4 linked regions of the Canis lupus familiaris genome follow. The protein of the gene in region 3 purifies or fractionates together with the protein of the main gene of each other region. This does not show direct contact. Links are inferred from orthologs where the notes say so. Each region holds a gene or a part of one and is shown on either strand. Other genes may lie near its edges.

Region 1 (5,643 bases), on a different chromosome or scaffold from region 3:
GGGTCCGTGGCCAGAGCAGAGGGAGGCCTCGACCTCTAGTCTACTCAAACGAGACACAGGTCAGAAAGTACTTAGTGGGGCTGGGGGTATGGGGTGGGCAGGTCACTTGCTGGTCAGAAAGAGGAAGGGGATGTGGGCATGAGGGAGCAAGGGTTACCTGCATGGGTAAACTCGCTTGATACCCTCATGATTGACCCTGACGTGGCGCCTCAGGCTGGGGGCGGAACAGAAGGAGCGCTCGCACAGGCGACAGGGAAACTTTTTCACTGACTGGGAGAGCAGAGCGTAGGGAGCCTCAGAGCGCGGCTCCAAGACCCCACTCCCCATGGCCACAGACCGATCCCGAGGGAGCCCTGCTCACCTTGCCATGCTCCTTCTTCATGTGAGCCACATACTCGTCCCGTTCAGGAAACCAGGAGTGACAAAGGCCACAGGTCCAGCCTCCAGGGCCCCCACCGCCCCCCTTGATGCCTTTGTTCCCTAGTTCCCGCCGGGGCCGTTTGGTTGGGCGAGGAGGCTCAGGAGAGCTGGGAAGTTCTTCCTCTTCCGAGGATGAAGAGGATTCCTCAGTAGGGGCAGCTGCTCCTCCCCGAGACACAGCCAACTCCTCGGGCTCAGCCTTGGGGCTTGTAAGGGCACCCGCCGCCCCTTTCCCAGCACTGTCCTCCCCCGGGCGCCCAGCCTGATGGGTGTTCTGTGAGAGGGAGACAAGGGGGCAGCCATTGTGGGGGAGGGCCTGGCTCTGCCAGAGGCCTTGCGGCTTCCCCACCAGCACTTCCTGAGGGTTCTATTCCCCAAACCCCCCACAGTCGAGCACCCCGCCTCTGTCCCTTGTCTCCTATACCTTGAGGTGTTCCAGCATGGTCCTTTTTTGGGCAAAAAGCAGAGGACAAGATGGGCACTTAAAGACGCTGACACGTTGGGGCAGCAGGTGTTGGTCGAAGTGTGAGGAGAGGAGGGGTTTGTGAGTGAAGACCGTGTCACACATGGCGCACTTGTAGATCATCCTGTGTGGGCGGAGAGGACAGTGCAGACACCCTGCCCATCAGGACCCCGACCCCGTTCCAGCCCACCCTGCTCCCTCCCAGGTCTCACTTGGCCTGCTGCGTGTGGAAGCTGGGGTGCTGGGTGTAGAGGTGGGCATGGGCGCTGGGCGCAGACTTGAAGGCCATGGGGCAGATGGGGCACTTGTGGAAAACCTCGCAGTGCGACGTCTGGATGTGGGACTTGATGGAGTTCACGCCCCCGAACACCACCGCACAGCTGGGGCACCTGGGGGGCAGGGGGCGCTGAGGTGAGGCAGGGTGTCTCCAGCCTGTCCCCCGGGCCCTGCTCCTAGCCGGAGGCCTATGGAGGCCGAACCGGAGCTCTCTCCCCTCTCCACGGGAGCAGGGCAAGAGCAGACCAATCTGAGGCTGAGGGGTTCAGCAGGAGATGGGGCTCTCCCTGACAGGCCAGCTCAAAGCCTGGTGCTGGGACACACGAGGCCATAAAGTGCCAGGGGGTGGGGGGAGGAGGTGGCAGTGGGGAAACAGTCACAAGGCTCCAGGGAGGAGAGGCAGGAGGCACCTGTATCCTACACGGCGAGACAAATGTAGACAGGCCTCCCGGAGATGGGTCTGGAAATTGGCCTGTAGGAAGTTGCCCCCACACTCAGGGCAGACGTGGGGAGGCCGGTTCTTATGCATGCGCTGGTGGGCACTGAAGCTGCAGCGATTGGGAAGCATCATGGGGCAGGTTGGGCATACCTGTCAACAGGAGTGGAGACAAGGTAAGTCAGCAAGGAGAGGCCCGACCCCATGACCTCCCCTGACCGAGCCCCCAACATCTTCCCAGATCTGACTCCCAGAGCGTTGGGCTCCAGCCCCGGGGAGAGCTGGGACAGGCAACTCACAGTGCTGTTGGCCCCAGGGGCCGGGGGCCCAAGCTGCTGGAAGTGGGCGGCCATGCCTGCCTTGTCCCGGCACTGCTCCTTGCACTCTAGGCAGCGAAAGCATGTGTAAGACGAGGTGGCAGGGGCAGCAGGCGGCTCAGATGACAGTGGTAGCACAGGGGCTTCGGCGGCGACAGCAGTAATAGCGCCAGCGACAGCCGCGTCACCCTTGCCCAGGGCAGGCAAGGCTGGAGGTCCGAAGGCAGGTGGGACAGCCAGCAGGGGCGTGATGTCTGGCTGCCCCACCATCTGGTCCAGGGCGACGGGCCTCATGACCAGGTGTGAGCACTGCATGACGAGCCCTTTGTCCTTGTGCTCTCGGGCATGCAGCAGCAGACTGCATTTGTTGAAAAAGACCAGGCGGCGGGCGCAGTGGTTGCAGGTGACCTCAATGCGCATGCTCCGGCGGTCATAGTGCCGCGCCAGGCTCTTCTCCAGTGAGAAGGCGTCCCCGCACTCGAGGCAGCGGTAGCCCGTGGGAGGCAGGGCCAGCCCGGCCTCGGCGGGGGGACTCAGGTTGGGCCGGTAGGCAGGCAGCAGGTTCTTGCTATTGAGGATCTTGTTGAAGGCCTCCACCAGGCTGGACTGGGTCCGCGAGATCACCGTGCCACCCCCTGCACCTGGCCCGGTGGCCGGCTTGGAAGGCTGCACCATCACCACTGAGGCACCGTTCACCTTCTGCCCCCCAGTCCCCAGCCCTGGCCGCCCCTCCGCCTTGGGCAGGGCCTGGGGCACCAGACCTAGCACATTCTTAGCCATAGTCTTAGGGCTGGTGGCAGTGCCCCCTGGCAGAACCACAGCTTTGCGGGCCACACTGGCTGCCATCAGCATAGCAGTGCTTGCATTCTGGATGGTGGCCACAGGCAGCACGGTGCCCTTCAGCCTCGTGCCGTCACCCAGCTGGACGCTCACCACCTTTGGACCCTCGGGGGTCGGGGTTGCAGGGGATAGCTTTAGGAGGCCAGCCTCAGCCAGGAGGGTCCCCTCAGCCAAGGGGGCAGGAGGATCAGGGTCTGAGGGGACCCGGGTTACAGTCCTTGTGATATTTCCGCAGGATGTTTTAATGGTCTTGATCCGCACCTTGAGAGGCCTTGAGGAGCTGGAAGAAGCAGGGGAGTCATTGCTGTCCTCATCTGCAGCCTCAGCTCCACTAGAGGGGCTCTGGGGACTTTTTGGGGAAGGCTTGTCCACCGGCCCCTCCTCCTCTTCTTCCTTCAGGGGCTGACAACAGGGCACTTTGGGGGAGGCAGGAGGGCTCTGATGCCCTGGAGACTGCTTGAAGAAGGGCAACCCAGCAACCTGGGGAGGGGAGGCGCTGGCAGGAATACCCGTGGCCTCAGGGCTCAAGCTAGAGCCTAGCCCGGCCAGGCCCTGAGGATGAAGGGGGCTGCAGCTGTCTTGCTTCAAGGTCCCCCGTACTGGGGGAGAACCAGGTGGCAGCAAGGCTGGGCCATTCTCCCTGGACAGCTCAAAGGGAGAGGGGAAAGGAGGTGGGGTCATGGCCCCTTCCCGAGGTGGGGAAGGTGCTGGGGGAGGGAGGGGATCAGGGTGCTCCCCTGGCTCAGGCCCAAAATGAGCAAAGAGGTCCAAAGTAGCTTTGCCTTCCATAGCTTTTTCTTTCCAGGTACCCCCACTGAGAGGAGCTGGAGAGTGGGGTGTACTTGGAAGGGATGACTCAGGGCCCCCAAAACCATTTTGCATCAGACGAGGCCCCACAGGCCCTTCCTTAGTCACCCCCCCAGCCCGGGGCCCATCTCCTCCTGAAATCCCAGCTGGGGACTCAGGCTGCTCAGGACACACAGTGTTCTTGACGATGACACTGACTGCCGAGATGTCTGGCGGTGGCAGGCCGTGATCAGAGGCCTGGGCTGGCACCTCAGGGCTGTCCCTGGCAGCTGCTGCCGGTGCTTCTCCAGAGTCACCTCCTATACTAGGATCCGGCTTTCCTGAGCCTCCAGGCCCTTCGTTTTCTTCTGGCCCAGAGTGGATGGCTTCATTGGCATCGATGTCAGGGATGTCAAAGGCAGCAAGGAGATCATCGAAATCAGGAGTCTTCATATCCCCCATGGCAGCAGGTCCCAGACCTGATGAAAACAGAAAAAAGAGTAAGAAATTGAGCCCTCTGAGGGCAGGAACCCTGGCCCTCCTCCCTCAGGATCTCCATATTTATCCTCTTGGGACCATGCGCAATCTCCTTGGGTACACTTTTACCACATCACAAATCCTAGAGCTGGTGGGGGCACCTGGTTTGCCAAACCCTAAAATTGAAAGGTAGGTTATGTGCACATTCCAGGGAAGACACCGAGATTCAGAGAAAGCAGAAGAAAAGAAACTTCTCAGAGACACAGTAGAGAAACAAGGGTAACAGAGACGGAGGAAGTTCAGTGAACATCTTGATTGAAATCACCTCAGCCCCTCCTGAGCCCAGCACAGAACCAATCAATTAATCAATACCATTATTAAGGAGGAAGATATACACCATGCTCTGGGTGTAAGGGCTCATTCATGGCAGCATGGGATCCATTCATAAATCTTCATGGATCTTCTGGGGGTCTGGAGAGATCTGAAAGCCATGTGTTCAAAGGGACAATGACTTAAGCCAAGATGGAAGAAATGATTCTAGTTGCAGCTTTATCAATGGCCTCATGTCCACTGCCTTAGTTTTGAAAGGTGAGGCAAGTAATCCATACACCACAGGGTTATTCGGAGCCTGATACAAATCATAACCCTGCGAGTCAAAACCCGGAGCAGGATTTATTATTACAGCTGGGACAAACAAGCTGGGAAGGAGTAAGCACTGGGAATCTACGACTGAGGTCAGGGACAAGAGTCAGGGGTCAAGTCTGGGGACCTGGGGTCATCACTGGCACCTGGGGATCTAGCTTGGTTAACAAGGAGAAGTGGACTCGGAAATCACCCAAGAGAAGAGACCAAGATGGAAAGAATAAGACACAGGAATAGAAAGAGATAAAGAGAAGAGGGGAAAACCGTGCCAGCAACCTGGTCACAAGGGCCCCAGCCTAGGCCTCTCCTGTCACAAACACCTGCTGCTAGCACACCTACCTTCCCCAGAGTGCCTCTGCCCTGCCATGGCCCTCCCGGGGCCAGCCCCTCCTCTCTCCCTCCCCATCTTGCTCTCTCAGGGCCAAAGCTCCAGGGTAACTTAGCCAAGCCTGGCTGCCACAAAGGGGAAAAGCCAAGCCCCCTCACCCGTGTTATTCCTGCTCTGAGCTCCTAATTCACACTCCTCACCCTTTTCATTTTCCCTTGGCAACACCAGTTCAAGAAGTCTTACCCAACCCCAACCTGTCCCAGTGCGCGTGTGCGCACACACACACACACACACACCCCACAAGACTCATGTGGCACTAAACCAACACAACCAGCCTAGAGGCTGAGGGGAACCCGGGTCTGTTCCTCACCAGTGTCTCCCCACAAGTGTTTCTATGTCTAGGAAGTAACCAAAGAAGTCTGTCACTACAGTCTCTGCCCAGGATACAAGCCATTTCGCAGGGCCAGTTCTCTCACCTCCTGCCAGCCTTTAGACCGAAACTGAAGATAGTCCCTGCAGGTGGCAGCTGGCAATGCTGGGACCACGGTAAGGTGGAGGAAGAGGATACCAACAAGAGGAAGAACGGGAAGTTTCCCCTCATCAGCCCTGACTTAATTCTGCAGTCTCTGGCTTTAAACAAAGCCCTCCACCCCTTGCC
Region 2 (6,116 bases), on a different chromosome or scaffold from region 3:
CGATTCAAGGGATTCTAAGGGCAAGTTTAACAAGTTGTTTTCTCCTAAAAACACAGCACCCACTGCATAAGAATGAAGACTCCACGCTTGGATTTGGGTTCATTGATCCGGCCCCAGGATCCAGGGCCAGATCAATGGCACACCGCAGGCACTCAGTACATATTGTTGAATCATTAAATGAATGAATGAGGGGTGCCTGGGTGACTCAGTCAGTTGGGAGTCCAACTCTTGGTTTCAGTTCAGGTCATGATCTTGGGGTGGTGGGATTAAGGCCCGCAGCAGGCTCCACACTCAGTGGGGAGTCTGCTGGAGATTCTCTCTCCCTCTCCCTCTCCCCATGCACCCCTAGGCTCCTGCACTCTCTGTCTCTCTAAAAATAAATCTTTTTTAAAAAATAATTAAATAATTAAATAAAAAGTAAATGAATGAATGACAGTAACCACTGATTCACAAGAAAGAACTTTTTCAGAACTGCAAGACAATGGGGGTACCTGGGTGGCATAGTCAGTAAAGCATCAGACTTTTTGGTTTTGGCTCAGGCCATAATCTCAGGGTCATAGGATCAAGCACCCCATCAGTCTCTGCACTCAGCGTGGAGTCTGCTTGAGACTCTCTCCTTCTGCCTCTGCTCCTACCCCCCCCCCCGCCCACCCCGGCAAATAAACAAATCTTTAAAAAAAAAAAAAAAAAAAAAGAACTGCGAGATAATGGGTAGAGGGTTGTTCCAGCACAGCCATCATTGGGAGAGCCTCAGAGAGAATGGACCCATCTACATTTGATATTGGCCTGTTCTTATTTCATATTTATGGGCCAGATCCTACAGGCCAGATCCTATGGGCCATACTGGGTAAAGGGACAGAGAAATTAAACACAGTCCCTACTTTCTGGGAGTTTCCAGACCAGTCTCAGTAACGCAGTTAGGATACAACCAGACACAGTGCTTAGAAGGAAGTGCTATCTACAGGGGACTGGTGCACAAGGAAAGGGCAACCCAGAACCAGAGCAGTGGGAAGAATTCACAGAGGAGCAGCGTTGCACAAAGAGGCTTGAAAGGTGAGGGGGAGCGTGCCAGGTGGGCAACTGTGGGGAAGGTACTCCAGGTGGAGGGAATTGCACGTGCAAAGGCACGGACGTGCGTTTGGGAACCTCTGAGCAGTTTGTAGGTGCTAGAGCACCAAGTGGGATAATGGTGAGCGCTGAAGCTGGGGCACTGAGCAAGGACCACATTGTGCAGAGCCTTGAATGCCAAGGAAAGGAGTCTGGCCTTGTGCAACAGGCCTAAGCTTCTAAAACTGAGTGCAGGGGGCCTGTGCTTCCACAAATGTGAAATGGTTTGTCAAGGGACATACAAAGCCACAGTATAAACATGGCATCTCTTTCTAGTTGTCCACTGAAGCAACTGAATAGTTACAACAATATCTTTATATAACAATAAAGATATATGGAGTGGAAGAGAAATTAACATGAAATTTAAAGATAAACTATGAAATTCAAAGACATAGCCTGCCATGGTAGTCTGTACACCAGACAACTCCAGGTACCCACCAGTGGACAGGGGAGATGCTGAGTCCTGCTGAGTCAGCCTGGGCCAAGGCTGGCAGCAGTATCCTGTCTCCATGGCACCTGTGGTTCTGTGAGCTCTCACTCACCTGGAAGATGCGGGGGTCCCCAGGTGGGGGGCTGCCAGGGGGTGAGTATACAGGCTCCAGCCGAGTAAATTCCTCTGCAAAGTTGCCTACATCCAGCTCCGAGCGGATCTGTGGTCGGAATGGGGCTGGAACTTTCCTGGCAGCCAGAGCGGCCCAATCCAGACCCTGGAGAGATGGAATAAGAGACTGGGAGTGAAATGTAGGAAATGAAAACCCCCATCTGCCACAGGGGGCCACATTCACTGGGCAGCTCCTCAGTGAGGCAAGGGTCTATATGGCATTTGAGTGGAAAGCTGTTTTCCGGCCTTCCCAGCTTGTTTTTCTCCCTCTGATAAGAGAATCCTTATTTCTACCACACTTTTGATAGCACTGGCATGCAAAACAAATCTCTTCCTCCAACTGGACTTAAATCTGAGAGGGCATGGGCCTGGAACCACTAGGGACCTCCTGCAAAAAAACCAAGAGACAAAGAAAGAAATTCTTAACATAAATCCAGCACCTGGATGCAGTCTTGCCTGAGGTCAGACCACTTTTCCTTGGACTTTTCACTTACGGGAGCTAAAACATGCTTTTTTATGTTTCATCTATGGTGGCAGAACCTGTTTGTGGCCTCCCCAACTTCCATACTCCCCATCTTCCTTAGTACCATAGCCCCGATATTATTACAGAAAGCAATGTATGCAACTAAAAACCATTATTTTATGAACTTCCTTGCACTTCAGTGTGACCCATGATGACCTGCAAGCAAAAATTATGAGAATCCAGAGAAAGAACCTCAAGAGGAGGGTGAACAGGGCAGCCCAGGTAGCTCAGCGGTTTAGCGCCACCTTCAGCCCAGGGCGTGATCCTGGAGACCTGTTTCTCCCTCTGCCTGGGTCTCTGCCTCTCTCTGTGTCTCTCATGAATAAATAAATAAAATCTTAAAAAAAAAAAAGAAAGAGGGTATCCCTGGGTGGCTCAGTGGTTTAGCACCTGCCTTCGGCCCAGGGCTTGATCCTGGAGACCTGGGATCAAATCCCACGTTGGGCTCCCTGAATGGAGCCTGCTTCTCCCTCTGCCTGTGTCTCTGCCTCTCTTTCTGTCTCTGTCTCTCATGAATGAATGAATGAATGAATGAATGAATGAATGAATAAATAAATAAATAAATAAATAAATCTTTAAAAAAAAAAGAAAGGAAGAAAGAAAGAACTGCCAGAGACAGCAATTTTCTTCTCCCTCTGCCTGTGTCTCTGCCTCTCTCTCCCTCTCTCTCTCTCTCATGAATAAATAAAAATATTTAAAAAAAAAAAAGAGGAGGGTGAACAGCTGGCACGTGCCCAGTTTGCCCTTCCCCTCCTTTTTGCTCCTGATTTCTGCCCAGATGACAGCCTAAATGGCAAGCACTTCAGCAGCCATTTTGGATCACAAGGCAACCCTGGGACCAGAGACTCCTGGGTGGCTCAGTGGTTGAGCATCTGCCTTCAGCTCAGGGTATGATCCCAGATCTTGGGATCAAGTCCTGCACTGGGATCCCTGCATGGAGCCTGCTTCTCGCTCTGCCTATGTCTCTGTCTCTCTCTGTGTGTCCCTCATGAATAAATTAAAAAATCTTTAAAAAAAAGAAGAAGAAGAAAGGGGCTTGTATTCATGAAAACACCACAGCAGCCCTGGCCTGCCAAGCCTACTATGTCAGAAAATACATACATACATACATACATAAAGCTCTATCTTTAAGCCACTGTTCACTCCGACCTCTATTCTTAGCAGCCAAACTTATTCCAGGGATATCACCATTCTGAGTTGGACTTCTTGTCACTTGCAGCCAAGAGGCCTGATCTGGGCTTGAAGGCCCAGGATCTGGCACCAGGACCTCTGCACTACTATCACCAAAGAGGCTGTCTTGAGAGAAGGGGGACTGCAGGGAACACTTCTTGTGAGTATCAGGCCCTGAAGACCTTAGGGCCTCTTCCGGTATTACTGTTGGTCAAGCCATTCCCAGTACCCCGGGCCTGGCATGTGCTCAGGGTGGCTCAGGGAATTCACTTCAAGAAACTGACACTGCTCGGCCACTTCCCCCACAGAAGGACAACTTCACTATGAAGACTGAGATTCCTGTCCCAGAAAGCATCTCCGAAGGACCTTCCAGGCAGGCACTCAGTGAGAAGATAGAAGGAGATGGCACTCACAGCAAGGGTAACCAGGTGCCCAGCCCACGGTAAGTGCCCATAAATGAGCACTTTTGTTACGATGCCAGACAACTGGCAAATCGAATGCCCACAGGTAAATGCAACACACGAGTTAAGGACATGGGCTTCAAATCAGCCAGACCTGGGTGTGGATCTGAGCTCCATCACTTCCTGGCTGGGTGACCTTGGGCAAATTCCTTAACCTCCCTGAACTTCAGTTTCCTCATGTGGAAAGACAGCAATCATCAAAATGGTTCTAAAGGTTACATGAAATGATGCAAGCAAAGAGCCAACACACAGCAGGTGTTCACCATTACAGGATCCTGCTGGCAACAATGCTGGCCATGCACAGCACCCAAGCCAGTGAGGTCTCACTAAGAAGCAGAATTCACGCTGCACTGCACTCTAACCTGTGCGTGCTCTTCACAGGTGAAGAAAACCCCAGTGACTGACCAACTGTCCATCTGAATCACAGGCACAAAGACTGTACTGAGGACAAAGAACAAAATGCCTGGGTGGGTGCTGAGAGTGGCAAGTGTGACTTTTAGTACTGGTGTGAGCCAAGAGGGGACTGACCTGCAATGTGTCTCCAGCTCTACACTATTTCCTGTACAGTCTGGAGAGGTCACGCCCCTTCTCTGAACCTGCCCAGTGAGGGGACTGAGGAAGCCATCCTCAAGCCCCTGCCAGCCAATGAACCTGGGAAAATTCTTTCCCCCAGGATCACATCTACCAAGTTTCATGAGAGATGGAGAAAAACTGGCTATCTGGTGGTTTTCCTAAAGCAGTTGAAATCAGTGGGTCTCAGACCATCCCTCCAGTGTCCCTCAACCCAGGGCAATAGCCCACTCTGGGGGTGTGCAGAGACACGTGGGGGAAGAGTCAGGAGTCTTACCTGGAAGAAGGGGTGGTTCTTGACTTCCTGTGCCCCCTGGGGCCCTGCACCCAGTCGCTTCTTGGGGTCCTTGCAAAGTAGCCGCTGCAGCAGGTCCTGTGCCACGGGCCCGATCCGGGGGGGGAAGGGAGGGGAGCACTTCAGGATCCGTCTGGGAGGATTGGGGGGGCGTCAGGGGCAGCGAGCCCCCTCCCCAACCCTGCCCAGGCCCCTCACTCTCCCTGCCCCCATCCTTGTCCAGCCCCGCTCACCGGGAGACCTCTGCCTGCGTGTTCCTCTCGCCCTCCAGGGTGAAGGGCGAGGCCCCCGTCAGCAGCTCGAAGAGGAGGATGCCCAGACTCCACCAGTCCACAGCCTGATGGGGTAGAGCCAGGGAGTGAGGGCCCGTGGCCACACCCGCCTCACCCCACCCTCAATCCCCACCCACTCCCCTGCTAACCCACCTTGCCATGACCCGACTTGCTGCGGATAATTTCGGGGGCCATGTACTCGATAGTGCCACAGAAGGAGAAGGTTCGTTCTTTCTGGGAGGGCAAGAGGATCCATTTGGACACCCAGCAGTCCCCAAGGCTCGGAGTAGGACTCGCTGGACTCGTGAGGGTTGGAACACAGGGAATCTCCTGAAGGCAGGACCTAGACCTGTTTACCTCTGCCCCGCAAGAAATGCAGAGCCTGGCATGGAGCAGGAGGACAGGAAGGCGAAGGCTTGAATGGGGGTGCAGTAGGCAGAGAGACTGCCCTTCGCTCACCTCTTCCGTCAGGAACTCCTTGCTAAGCCCAAAGTCTGTGAGTACGATGTGGCCCTCGGAGTCAAGCAGCACATTCTCCAGCTTCAGATCTCGATAGATGATACCCAGCTGGCAAGAGCAAAAGGAGCACTGAGCCTTCCTCCCCAACGCCCCTACCTGCTATGGTGGCCAGGCACCAAGACCCCACTCAGGATAAGGGGAGCCCCCTACAGGTGGGGTCTCCAGTACAGGAGTGGGCACAGGGACCAGGATGGGAAAAAGCCATTGAAGATGTAAAAGCAAGGAAGGAGGACACCATGGGAACAGGCCCCAAGGCCCCAGAGGGAGGAAAACCTATGTGAAGAGCCCCATTTTAAGAAGGCCTTGGAGCCAAGGCATGAGGTCTCCATTTGAGGAAGTTCTGTGAGCATGGCCCCAGGAGGTAGCCCCGAGTTCCCTGTCAGAGGAAAGTCCCTTTGAGGAGGTAGCAGGGGAAGAGATCCCTCCCCAGGCAGCACTAAGGCCTTCCTTCCCGGAGGCCCCCCGGGGAAGTGGCTCCAGTCCCCACCAGGACCACCAGTCCCCCAGGAAGCCTGAGAGAGCGCAGCTCAAGGCTGCTGTGTTTGGAAGCCCCTTACAAGGCCCGGACCCAGTTCCCCTGGCAACAGCCGGGTGGCCA
Region 3 (5,587 bases):
AACCCGCTTCTTCAGCCAGCTGAGCAGCATCCTTGCCACCCAGCTCACAGACACCCACCCAGGCAGCTCCACGGCCCAGGAGATAGCGCACAGCAGCCCCCTGGCCTGCTCGAGCAGCACACATCAGGGGGGTCCACCAGAAGGCATCCCGAGCATTGATATTGCCCCCCGCTCCCCCTGCCTCGTGGGGATCCAAGAGCCTTCTTAGTTCTGCTAGGTCACCCTCCTGGGCTGCCCTCAGTATCCAATGGGTCATCTTGTCCTCTGCCTCAAGGGATCTCCTTTGTCCATGTCCTGCTGAGGCTCCTACAGCAGCTTCCCCCATCATTCTTCTCTTCTTCCTCTTTCTTTTCCTGTCAGGTTCAGGCTGAGATCTCTGGGATGCAGGGATGCTGCTCTCTTCTGCAATCAGGGCCTCATAGAAAGCCCGGGCTGCAGCCCCATTCAGGGTGGGCTCCAGCTCTTCAGGCTGTGACTGCTGCTGCCCATCTTTCCAGAGGTCACTGGGGTTGGTGGCCGGGGTGAAGGTGATGAGGGAGGGCCTGGACATGGCTTTTGGGAGAACTGAGACAATGAGACTAATTAAAGGGCGTATGAGACAAGCAAGCCAATCCCTTGGTGGCTCTGCACTGACCAGAACCACCTCCACAGATCTGCTGGGATGAGGAAAAGTAGCCTTTTCCAAGTCAAAAACCCGTCTTATACTCTAAGTGACCCCACAACCTAGGACCCTACAGGGCCTAAGGACCATAGGTCATGTGGAAAAACAGGGAGCCATACAATAACAGCCCATATCCCTCGTAAAGGTTAACTTAACAAAGATTTAATGAGAATTGCCCAGAGGCCCATCCCTATCCTCACCAATAAGTAAAAACAGCTTCTCTCTCAAACTACTTGATCACCAGGTAAGACGTGCAGTTAAGAAAACAATCAGCCTAGCCCTTTAAATCTTCCTTGATCCTATGTCAGGGTAGGGTCTTTCCAAACAAAAACAGACTTTTAACCTTCTCCGGATGCAAGAAGAAGATTTGGGGGAGAAACTCCAGTCTCTGTGGAGACCCCACAGGGTCTCTGTACCACAAAAATTTTATCTAAGCAAAGGTGCTGCCAGTCCAATAGCCACACGACCCAGACACACATGTGTGACTGAAAAAAAAATCAACCACCACAAAGCAGAACTTGAGGGTGCGGGCGTGTGCGAAGCGCCAGGCTGAGCCTTCGCACGGTGGGACCCTCCAGGATGCCACGTGCCCAGGCAGCGCGAGGACAGAGGCTCTGTCGGTTGGGGTCCTACTTCTACATAACGCCCCACAATGCCCTTCGCCTCCCGGAACGTGGCCCCCCACTCCGAGCGCAGTTTTTGGACCTGCGAAACCACCGAGTTAAGGAGGGCTCTGAGAAGGCGGGAGGAAACCTGTGGAATGCCCCGAAGCCGTGAAGTGAAATAACGTCACGCCACCCCTCACCATTATTCTGAGCAGGGTTCGAAGGTCACACTTAGTGCCCGCAGCAGAAGGCCCCATTCAAGCTCTGAGAGGAGATGGAAAAGTGCAAGGGGACGAGCAGCAGAATGGCTGGCGCCACTTCAGGTTAGCGCACAGGCCGTCCCAATTCTCACACCGCTCACCTCAGCCCAGCCCACTCTTCCCACGTCCCGCAAGCAAGGAGCCCGGCCTCACCTCCCGCCTGAGGAGACTAGACCCCGGGGTGAAGCACCGGCCCGGGTGGGGCCTCCAGTGGCGGGCCTGACTCTGGCGAGAGGCTCCGCAGGCAACAAGGACCCGGTGGGGTAGTCGGGGACGAGGTCAGCACCCTGGGCTGCCGGCAAACACCTGGGGCAGAGCCTCGCTGTGTGAGGGGAGTTGCAGGAATCCAGCCCTCCAGCCCCGTTCCTTCCCCGCCCCCTCCCGGCCCCTCAGTTGCGCGACCCTACGACTCTATTTCCCATACTCCCTGGCCCAGAACGGGGTACTGCGCTTCCGCTTCCGGTGGTATCCCGCTGCTCCCCACCCCCGAGCGTCTTGTTCCTGGGCCTCGCGACGCCAGGGTCGTTCGTGGGTCATCCTGGGATTCGTAGTTCGCCTGTTCTTCGCTTCGCCAGTTTCTCTTTACCTGGGACTCCATTTCCCGGCGTTCACTGCGGCGCCCGACCCTTGGCGCTTGCGCGTTGCCCTCTCCCCACCCTCCCCAATTTCCACACACACCGCCCCCCGCCCCCCCCCCCTCGCTACTTCGCCTGCCGCGGTCGGGTCCGCGGCCTGCGCTGTAGCCGTCGCGGTTCTTTGGAAGCAGCAACTCCCCTCCCCCACCCCGGTCCCGGTCCCGGTCCCCGCCCAGCCGGTGAGTCTGAGGTCGTTGCCGCATCGAGTCTTCCGTCCTTAGGCGCGGCACATGGGGTCTCCGCGCGTTGGTGTGGGGGTGGGGAAGGAAGTGACCCGGTCCGGCACCGGGGGAGGGAGGGTTGGCCTGAGAGGCGGGGTGTGGGGACTCCTGTGAGAGGGACCCAGGGCCACCTCCAGGTCGTGAGGGGAAAGGGTCCTGGCTTTTGCTTGGAAAGGATAAACTTCGGAACCCTTGGGAAAGGTGTCGGGGACATGCGGAGACCTGCGGGGTAGGGATCTCGAGCCGAGAGCCCTGCGAGGGAGGGACTTGACGTAAAGAGGAGAGGGTGCTGGTTTTCGGGATTGTTAGGGGTGTGGGTAGGACGGGTGAGCCTAGACCTGTCGGTTTTTCAGAAGTGGTGGGACTCCAAAGAGCCTCTAGTGAATAAGAGGAATTGGAGGCAGGTGCGCCAGGGTCTAGGATCCTTTAAGAAAAGGGGGCTCCAAATTCTTCCATGGTCGGGGAGCAGAGTGTGGGGAGGAGGGAAGGTACCAGAGACAGGGTGGGGGAGCTTGGCCTTTGTTTACCCTCTTTTTTTTTTTTTTCCCAGCTGACGTGAAGATGAGCAGCTCAGAGGAGGTGTCTTGGATATCCTGGTTCTGTGGGCTCCGTGGCAATGAATTCTTTTGTGAAGTGAGTTCTCAATCTCCCAGCTATGTCCGCACAAAGTTTGGCTGTATGTTTTTCCACATATTTAGCTTCTACTTCTCTTACAGGCTGTCATAGAAACTTTTTCCTGTCAAGGAAGAGTCCCTTCAGTAACTCCCCTCACTAATTTGTGAAGTGGCAAGACTTGCCCATCCCAAGCCTGTTACTGTCCAGCGGTGTAATATTGGAAAAGTCAACTTTATTACTACTACTACTACTACTGTTATTCTTATTATTATTGCTAGGCTTGTACTAGTAGTGCTTAATTTGGGAGCCTATTAGGATTAAAATGCCGTTTATCAAAATGTTTTGTAACAGGCAAAGTTTTGTGCTAATGATATAATGGATTATAACTGCCCACAGGACCCAAGCTGTTTAGTCGCTGCTTTTCTTAGAGTTCTAGCTGCCGGTAAGGAGAGGACAAAACTGGTCTGTAGAGATGGGATCAAGAATAGGAACAGGGATTTTAAAAGGAGTGTCTCGTTAAGGAAGAGATTGTTGTAGCTGCTTATCCTTAGGAAAGAAAAGCCAGAGCTTTTATGGGAAGGCAGTGTATGTGAACTGGGGAGAGAGACTCAAGGATTTCTGCTGAGTTGGTGTGGGGAATTAGGGAAAACAGAAGCAGTTGTGTTGGAAACAAGGCACCAATTAGAGCAATGTGCCCAGATCAAAGCTGAGGATTCTGCTATGGGTTTCTTCTTGACTTCCACATCCTGACAGGTGGATGAAGACTACATCCAGGATAAATTCAATCTCACTGGACTCAATGAGCAGGTGCCTCACTATCGACAAGCTCTAGACATGATCTTGGACCTGGAGCCTGGTGAGGCATCCTCGGGGTTATCTTTGTGTGTGTGTGTGTGTGTGTGTGGTTTTTCTTTTTTCTCCCAAATTCCTGTTGATCTGCTTCTTGAATTTCTAAATTTCCTTTTGGTTCTCTGATTGCTTTTGTCCTAAGTTCTGTACTTTATTTTGCTCTCTCATCTGACTTTTGCCTGGATTTGTGACAGCCTCATTCTACACTCTGATCCTGTAACTTGGCTCTCTCCCTTAATGTTAGTTTCCTCATGGATCTCATTTCCTGCTTACCTGTCTTGCCTTGCACCTTTCAGTCTAGAGTTCCAGCTTCTATGTTGATCTTTTTCATTTATGTGTTGAGAGAGTTGGGAGGGAGAGAAGAGAGTAAAGGCTGAAGAGGTATAGAGAGAAGGCAGAGCTGCCTTGGGTGGGTGGGTGGAAGGGCCAGAGGCCCAGGTTTCTGGGTCAAATGCCCAGGTGATGGGTGGCGCAAAGATGAGTAGCCAGCAGCCCCTGGAGGTGGATGGGGCACCTAAGAAAGCTGTAAGACAAGTGATTGCAATTGGCTGCGGCCATGTTTCAGATGAAGAGCTGGAAGACAACCCCAACCAGAGCGACCTGATTGAGCAGGCAGCCGAGATGCTTTATGGATTGATCCACGCCCGCTATATCCTCACCAACCGTGGCATCGCCCAGATGGTGAGGCCTCTCTGCTCCCACTTGACTCCTCTGAGGTAGTAAGGGAAACAGGTTCTTGCAGCAAGGAGTCACGTTTTCAAACTTGTCACAGATTATAGCTAAGAAGAGGGGAAGAGGGCGCCTGGGTGGCTCAGAGGCTGAGCGTCTGCCTTCGGCTCAGGTTGTGATCCTGGGGTCCTGGGATTGAGTCCCGCATTGGGCTCCCCGCAGGGAACCTGCCTCTTCTCTTGCCTGTGTCTGTCTCTCTTTCTGTCTCTCGTGAATAAATAAAATCTTTAAGAAAAAAAAAAGGAGGGGGAAGAACCCCAGAACCTGGGCCTGGGGATTAAATCCTAATTGGGGTTGTGCTGACTGAGGTATTTTCAGGGAGGGAGACGTGACCTTGGACAGGAATTTTTTGCAGTCTGCCTCTTCCTCAGGGAACAAACAGCAAATGGCTCTGATGGTCTGTAACTTGCCTACCTGGAGAAAAGGAAGCAGGGGAGTAGGAGGGCCCATCTGGCCAGCTTAAAATGGGCATCTGGACGGAAGGAGGCAGGAGTGGAGGACAGAGCAATGTGGGTTGGACTGAGGAGGGGATTGCCTCTTCTTTTCATACCTACCCACCGGCCCCTTTCATTTTATTCACCTCAGTTGGAAAAGTACCAGCAGGGAGACTTTGGCTACTGTCCCCGTGTGTACTGTGAGAACCAGCCAATGCTTCCCATCGGTGAGTGTTGGAGAAGGGAAAGGAGGCCTCATGAAATGGCCAGTCCTCTGGGAAGGAAATGGGGCTCAGCAAGTCTGAGCCTGAGTCTGGGAGGGTGGTGGGGCAGGCTCGGGGGTGCCTGGCCTGCTGAGTCTAGCTGTCTCCCAGGCCTTTCGGACATCCCAGGTGAGGCCATGGTGAAGCTCTACTGCCCCAAGTGCATGGACGTGTACACACCCAAGTCATCGAGGCACCATCACACGGATGGCGCCTACTTCGGCACCGGTTTCCCTCACATGCTCTTCATGGTGCACCCCGAGTACCGGCCCAAGCGGCCCGCGAACCAGTTTGTGCCCAGGTGGGGAGCAGGGA
Region 4 (6,116 bases), on a different chromosome or scaffold from region 3:
AGAACATTAACAATTGGGTACTTGACTGCAGTGACATTTTATGTAACAACTCCCAAGAGGCAATAGGTATAGCTGTTACAAAGACCAGAGCCAGAGTGCCCAAGTTCAAATCCTAGCTTTGCCACTAAATATCTCTGTGACTTGGAGAAATTACTAAATCTCTTTTATGCCTCAGTTTCTTCACCTGTATGATAACAGTACCTACTTCACTGAGATGTTTGAGAATTAAATAAATTAATATGATTAGCTTTAAAGTAATGCCTGGCCCACAGTAAACAGAAGTTAAACAAATTCACCATAAACTACCACAACCCTAAAGCTACTCAGAAATTTCCCTTACAACATGGATAAAACTTTTATTTTTTTTTAAAAGATTTTATTTATTCATGATAGACACAGAGAGTGAAAGAGAGAGAGGCAGAGGCACAGGCAGAGGGAGAAGCAGGCTCCATGCCAGAAGCCCGACGCGGAACTCGATCTCGGGACTCCAGGACTGCGCCCTGGGCCAAAGGCAGGTGTCAAACCGCTGAGCCACCAGGGATACCCCCTGGATAAAACTTTTAAATCATAGTATCCCATGGATTTTCCTCGCTATTTATCAATGTAAAAACACTTAAGTTCAAACATATTCACAAAAACTCTTAAAAATACAGTATTTCTATGCAGCTGATCCCAACAAAAGTAGCAAAAACCATTCAGCATCATAAGATGCTGAAAATCTTAGTTCTACAGTTCCTTCCAAAGATTGCTATCCCAAAGAAATAAAAGCTAAAGTTGATCTAGAAAAAAATAAAGAGGAACTTGAAATAATGCCATTTCAGTTCCAAGCCATTTCAGTTCTAAGCAGAGTGCCTGGCCTACAGTAGATGCTCAATAACCATTTGCTGAATTAATCAAGGCGTAAAAGTGAAACTACTTCTGGCCTGCACTTTTCCTTTCTCCATCACTCTCAAATACACTCTAGATGAGAATATCTAGGTTCATTACAACAAACCAATTTTAAAAAGAGGAAAGAAAGATAAAATGCAATATAAAGAGCAAACATATAATCTGTTCAGAGAAGGAATAATTAATTTCTCACTGTATTATGATCTTGAGTGTGAGCTCTTCCTATCTTTGGGAGAAGTCACCCAGGAAATTCACTACTGAAAATAAGACTTTAAAAATATATAACAGATTTCATCAACTCTAATATCATAGATATCATAAAATTAGTTTTCAATTCAATTCAGACCAGTATATATACATACAAGTCTATTCAATGAAACTCAATTCTCCTAAATGTATACTCCAAATTTTATTACTTTGGTTAACAACACTATTTATTACAATTATGTAGCCAAAAAGATATTTCTAACCAAAGTAAATCAGCAAATCTCTACTGGATTAAGCTTCTTTTTTAATGTCGAGGTCTCAGCTCAGCTGCAAAGTAAGAATTGTTAAATTAGATGGTTCTTAACATCCCTTTCAAAAGTAAAGTCCTAAGGAGATAGGACTCAGATTTGTCCCATAGTGTACTATATCAGCTACCTTTCAGAAATATGCACAAATTCCACAATAGCCAAACTATGAAAAGAGCCCAAATATCCATCGACAGATGAATGGATAAAGATGTGGTATGTGTATATATACGTGTGTGTGTATATATATATGTGTATATACTACTCACCCATCAAAAAATGAAATCTTGCCATTTGCAACGACATGGATGGAACTAGAGGATATTATGCTAAGTGAAATAAAGTAAGTCAATCAGAGAAAGACAATTATCATATGATCTCACTCATATGTGGAATTTAAGAAAATCACAGGGGAAGAGAGGAAAAAATAAAACAAGATGAAAATCAGAGAGGGAGATAAGAGACTCTTAATCATAGGAAATAAACTGAGGGTCACTGGAGGGGACCGGAGAGGATGAGGTTAACTAGGTGATGGACATTAGGGAGGGCATGTGGTGTAATGAGCACTGGGTATTATACAACACGGATGGGGCAGCCCAGGTGGCTCAGCAATTTAGTGCCACCTTCAGCCCAGCGCCTGATCCTGAAGACCCGGGATCCTGGAGTCCCAACATCAGGCTCCCTCTGCATGGAGCCTGCTTCTCCCTCTGCCTGTGTCTCTGCCTCTCTTTCTCTCTGTGTGTCTCATGAAATAAATAAATAAAATCTTAAATGAATCACTGACCTCTACCTCTGAAATCGATAATATATTAATCAACTGAATTTAGATAAAAATTTTAAAAAGAAAGGAAAAAATATGGACAATTGACATTTTATGTATGGCTAATATTTTTAAAAATTGAAATATCTAATTCAAGCAAGGGAAACTATAATAAAAGCAAGCACTCTGGTTTTTGTTTGTTTTTTTGCACTCTGGTGTTCTAACAAGAATTTATAATACTCAATTCACAGATATAACACTGAATTCATTGTAAACTATAAATTATTTCCTGTTTCCATGTAGTTAACCTGTGGATCATTTTGTAACAATTTCAGGAATCAATCATTATACTTCTTTTAACTTCAGCTATATGGGATCAAGAAACAGTTATTACAGTAAGTTCTACAGCACTGAACTACAGAATAAAGCATTTTAGTTACTTGTCTACCTTGAATTTTTAATACCACACTTTTTAATAAATACTCAAATGATAATCATTCTATCAGAATCCTTTCAAAGGTAGTAACAGTAAGATGATGTTTCTATTTCAAAGCTCACTGGGAAAACTGAACCCTAAAACAGATCTCTAAAAACCTCCTCAAAGAAAAATACTGTTAATTTTCAACTGCTCTTTAGACAAAAATCTATAGGTGGGTTATTAACTGCAATAAATTTAGACTTGACTCTCAAACATTTTTAAATACATTCAATATTAACTTCACAATCTTCTCATCCTGGGAGTAGCTTCTACCTATATCTTAGGCAAAATAAAGATTGTTTTACTACTGTATACTAAAGTGTGCATCAGTACTACAACTCTCCCCAGAACTACAATTCAGAACACCCGAAATAATTTTACAGCTCAAGACAGTAGGTCAATGTAAAAAACTACAAACAAAATTCTCCCCATCCTCCAATATCTAGTCAAGGGCCAAAATTAGCTGTTTCTTAGTGTATTTTCAACTGCACAAAATAATGGCATAAAACAGCACAGTAAGATACACCACTGTGTATCAAAACTCCAAACTGCACAGAACTTTAGGAATATAGGATACTTTATTCCTATGTAGTTACACCTGTCATAAACAATAACACTTAGGACTTCATCCTATGCAAAGAACACATGAATGTTAGAATACAACAGAAATAAGTACTGATAAATTTGCTTAGCTACTACTATGGGTCAAGAGAACCAGTCTCACTCCTACCTAATGATGATGTGCAACAAAAGAAAAAGGGGTTTAAAAACAGAGGTTCTTAGAGTCACTTGCTAATTTCAAATCCAAGCTTCCAATTTTTAGCAGTGTTCATCAACTTCCAGCAGTAAAATATTATAAGAACTTACAACAGCCTTAAAGTAGAATGCTACTTTTAAATTCTGAATAGGTTCTTTTAGGTATATCAATACCTATTTCAATACACTTTGAAACTCAGGCATAAAAAAAAAAAGAAAGAAAGAAAAAAGAAAGAAAAGAAAGAAAGAAACTCAGGCATCAAATATTCCAAAATATAAGGACAACTGGTAGCTACCGAATTCTAACAACTCAACAATAAAAAAACAGAGGTGATCATTCCAAAAGTCCCCAAACACAAAACCTGAATATAAGTTCTAAATAATCTCCTAGAAATGTGACTTTGAAGCATACTATATCATCAGTTCTATGAACACTGATGGGTATGTCACTCTTACCTTATCCTTTTCATGTGGAAGGAGTGACACTGGAGGTAAAGAGGAAAGAGACTCACAACTCTCTTTCCCATCCACACTGGTTGCTTTAGTGTTGAGCCGATAAAGAGGTCCATCTTTAAGGAGTCTGCCATGGCCAACGGCTCGTTTAATAGCCAATCGTAACTGCTGGTGAAAGCCAGAGGCAGCACTGCCTCCAAATAATGCAGACACATCCTTCTGACCTTTCAAAAAACGTTCAATGCTTTTCAAAGTTGAGCCACTGGACTCCGCCAAGCCCTCAACCGCCCGCTTGATCAGTTTATTCCAATCTACATTTTGTTTATTATCCAATTTTCCATGGTTTCGGGGTTTAGGAAGTGCTATTCGCCCAGGATTATCAGGATCTTTATAGGAATTGAGTCCTTTATTGGAGACTTTTAAAATTGTTCCGTCTTTAACACTCAACTCCAATTGTTCTAAAACAGTTTTACGATCCAAGCCATGGGATGAAGACACTGCATTGCATATCCTTTCTTCTGAAGGACGCTGTTTTTGCTTCTTCACTTTTTTGATGGCCTCCAAAATCCACTCAGTATATAGCGGGTTAGCGAGTTTTACCATGGTGAAGGATTCTGTATATCCATAGAGTCGTTATCCCTTATCCTGATGCTGAGTAAGTTTTACACCATGGAAAACAACATTCTCGGAGGCTGGGAACCAGTTAACCATAGCATACAAGTTTTCTGGCCTGAGTCTTTTCTCCTTCACAAAACAGAGTGCCTCCTCACTTTTACTTTAGAAACCAAAACAACCTGTTATTTGAAATGTCTTTGAACTTCCCAATAAACTTCTCAATAGCACCACACATGGGTCTCTTCATCTAGTTGTAAGAACTCACGAACATCTCATTCCCAGCAGGAAAACGTGCATCTTATGCCTGAAAAACAATTAAAACAAGGTCAATTTTCTATCAAATCCCACATCCTAGTCTTTAAAAGTAACCAAATCAAGTGTTACTGAGAACCTGTAGAGTTTTAACAAGTTTTCATCAATATTCCAAAAACAGTTATGTATGTAAACCATTGGGGCAAAAAAGAAAAAAAAATAATTAGGATACAAGATGAGATATACTATGAAGGACCTTATGCTACAACTACGCAGAGGGGTGCTGACTATTCTGTACTCCACAATCTCTGCTCACCAGTCTATGAACTGAAAGTCTTCCTTGACATCGTTCCCCAAGAACCTATTCAGCACTTCAACAAGTATCTGGATTAGTAGAAAGAATCCTGCAATGAAAGTAAGAGTGAACCTTTCAAAATTCCAGACATTCGGACTGCATAAAAATAGTCAATAATGCAACAAAAAAAAAAAGGGGGGGGGGAGAAAATTTTAACTATTTCACATATTAAAAGAAACAAAAACACAATTTACAATGAAGTTCGTATTTTAAGTACATTACTGTAATCATTCTAAACGGAAACAAAAACAACACTGAAAATCATCAAGTGAGGGGATCCCTGGATGGCTCAGTGGTGTAGTGCCTGCCTTTGGCCCACGGCATGATCCTGAAGACCCTGGATGGAGTCCCACATCAGGCTCCCTGCATGGAGCCTGCTTCTCTCTCTGCCTATGTCTCTGCCTCTCATGAATAAATAAATAAAATCTTAAAAAAAAAATCATCAAGTGAGAAAAGTGCTTAAAGAATTTTAAAATTATCTAAATTCATTCAAATTTTAAGAATTACACGCTGATAGCTTCTCCTAAATGCTAACAATTAATACAAACTAAAATACTAATATTCAATAGACTGGAGGGAGTAACAACTGTCAAAATGTTGATAGCCAAGCTACCCAGAATCACAGGGTTCAAATGCATACACTATATATCAAATGTACGTTACTGCCTGCTGGCAAGTCTAAAAAGAAATCTCATAGGTTCAAGATTGCTGACCTGAAATGAACACTAATGAGTAAAACACAGGCATATTACATTGCCTCTCCAGGATCAAAGTCCATATTCTTCTGTCAAACAAAAAAATCTGGCAGATACAGATCTTTTTTGAAAATCACCAGAATTAATTCTGAATCAAATTAACTCCTTTGCTTCCAAAAAATGTAACTGGTTTTTAGAACTTCTGCTCTTATTCTCAGCATTTACAACATAAACAATGATAGAAAAATGGCTCCCGCAGCAAATATTCTTAAGTTTGACACTAAAAGGAAAAGTAACAGATATTAGGAAAGCTACAGTCCGATCAACTTTAATAGGAAAGAAAAGACTGAAG

Evidence for each region.
Region 1: the proteins of CSNK2B (region 3) and ZNF687 purify together in Homo sapiens (co-immunoprecipitation; 3 studies listed by BioGRID and IntAct, with this or other methods). This does not show direct contact. The link is inferred for Canis lupus familiaris from reciprocal best matches to the Homo sapiens genes CSNK2B and ZNF687.
Region 2: the proteins of CSNK2B (region 3) and RPS6KA4 purify together in Homo sapiens (affinity purification with mass spectrometry; 3 studies listed by BioGRID and IntAct, with this or other methods). This does not show direct contact. The link is inferred for Canis lupus familiaris from reciprocal best matches to the Homo sapiens genes CSNK2B and RPS6KA4.
Region 4: the proteins of CSNK2B (region 3) and KAT6A purify together in Homo sapiens (affinity purification with mass spectrometry; 3 studies listed by BioGRID and IntAct, with this or other methods). This does not show direct contact. The link is inferred for Canis lupus familiaris from reciprocal best matches to the Homo sapiens genes CSNK2B and KAT6A.

The regions. Positions count from the first base shown.
Region 1 is NC_049238.1:61,010,871-61,016,513, reverse strand, and holds part of ZNF687 (zinc finger protein 687), read right to left. Parts: exon of another isoform or gene 5,462-5,643; intron 4,018-5,461; 5' UTR 4,001-4,017; coding exon 1,895-4,000; intron 1,749-1,894; coding exon 1,570-1,748; intron 1,273-1,569; coding exon 1,096-1,272; intron 1,008-1,095; coding exon 845-1,007; intron 695-844; coding exon 362-694; intron 271-361; coding exon 158-270; intron 1-157. UniProt on the Homo sapiens protein: May be involved in transcriptional regulation.
Region 2 is NC_049239.1:53,220,692-53,226,807, forward strand, and holds part of RPS6KA4 (ribosomal protein S6 kinase alpha-4), read right to left. Parts: intron 5,567-6,116; coding exon 5,459-5,566; intron 5,330-5,458; coding exon 5,153-5,329; intron 5,065-5,152; coding exon 4,961-5,064; intron 4,861-4,960; coding exon 4,710-4,860; intron 1,815-4,709; coding exon 1,650-1,814; intron 1-1,649. UniProt on the Homo sapiens protein: Serine/threonine-protein kinase that is required for the mitogen or stress-induced phosphorylation of the transcription factors CREB1 and ATF1 and for the regulation of the transcription factor RELA, and that contributes to gene activation by histone phosphorylation and functions in the regulation of inflammatory genes.
Region 3 is NC_049233.1:1,286,668-1,292,254, forward strand, and holds the start of CSNK2B (casein kinase II subunit beta), read left to right. Parts: upstream 1-1,450; 5' UTR 1,451-1,540; coding exon 1,541-1,589; exon of another isoform or gene 1,590-1,668; intron 1,669-1,679; exon of another isoform or gene 1,680-2,087; intron 2,088-2,187; exon of another isoform or gene 2,188-2,340; intron 2,341-2,463; exon of another isoform or gene 2,464-2,611; intron 2,612-2,932; coding exon 2,933-3,015; intron 3,016-3,750; coding exon 3,751-3,853; intron 3,854-4,411; coding exon 4,412-4,527; intron 4,528-5,160; coding exon 5,161-5,236; intron 5,237-5,383; coding exon 5,384-5,573; intron 5,574-5,587. Other genes in the region: GPANK1 (G patch domain and ankyrin repeat-containing protein 1), read right to left, coding at 1-550. UniProt on the Homo sapiens protein: Regulatory subunit of casein kinase II/CK2.
Region 4 is NC_049237.1:24,336,633-24,342,748, reverse strand, and holds part of KAT6A (histone acetyltransferase KAT6A), read right to left. Parts: intron 4,767-6,116; 5' UTR 4,451-4,766; coding exon 3,851-4,450; intron 1-3,850. UniProt on the Homo sapiens protein: Histone acetyltransferase that acetylates lysine residues in histone H3 and histone H4 (in vitro). Component of the MOZ/MORF complex which has a histone H3 acetyltransferase activity. May act as a transcriptional coactivator for RUNX1 and RUNX2.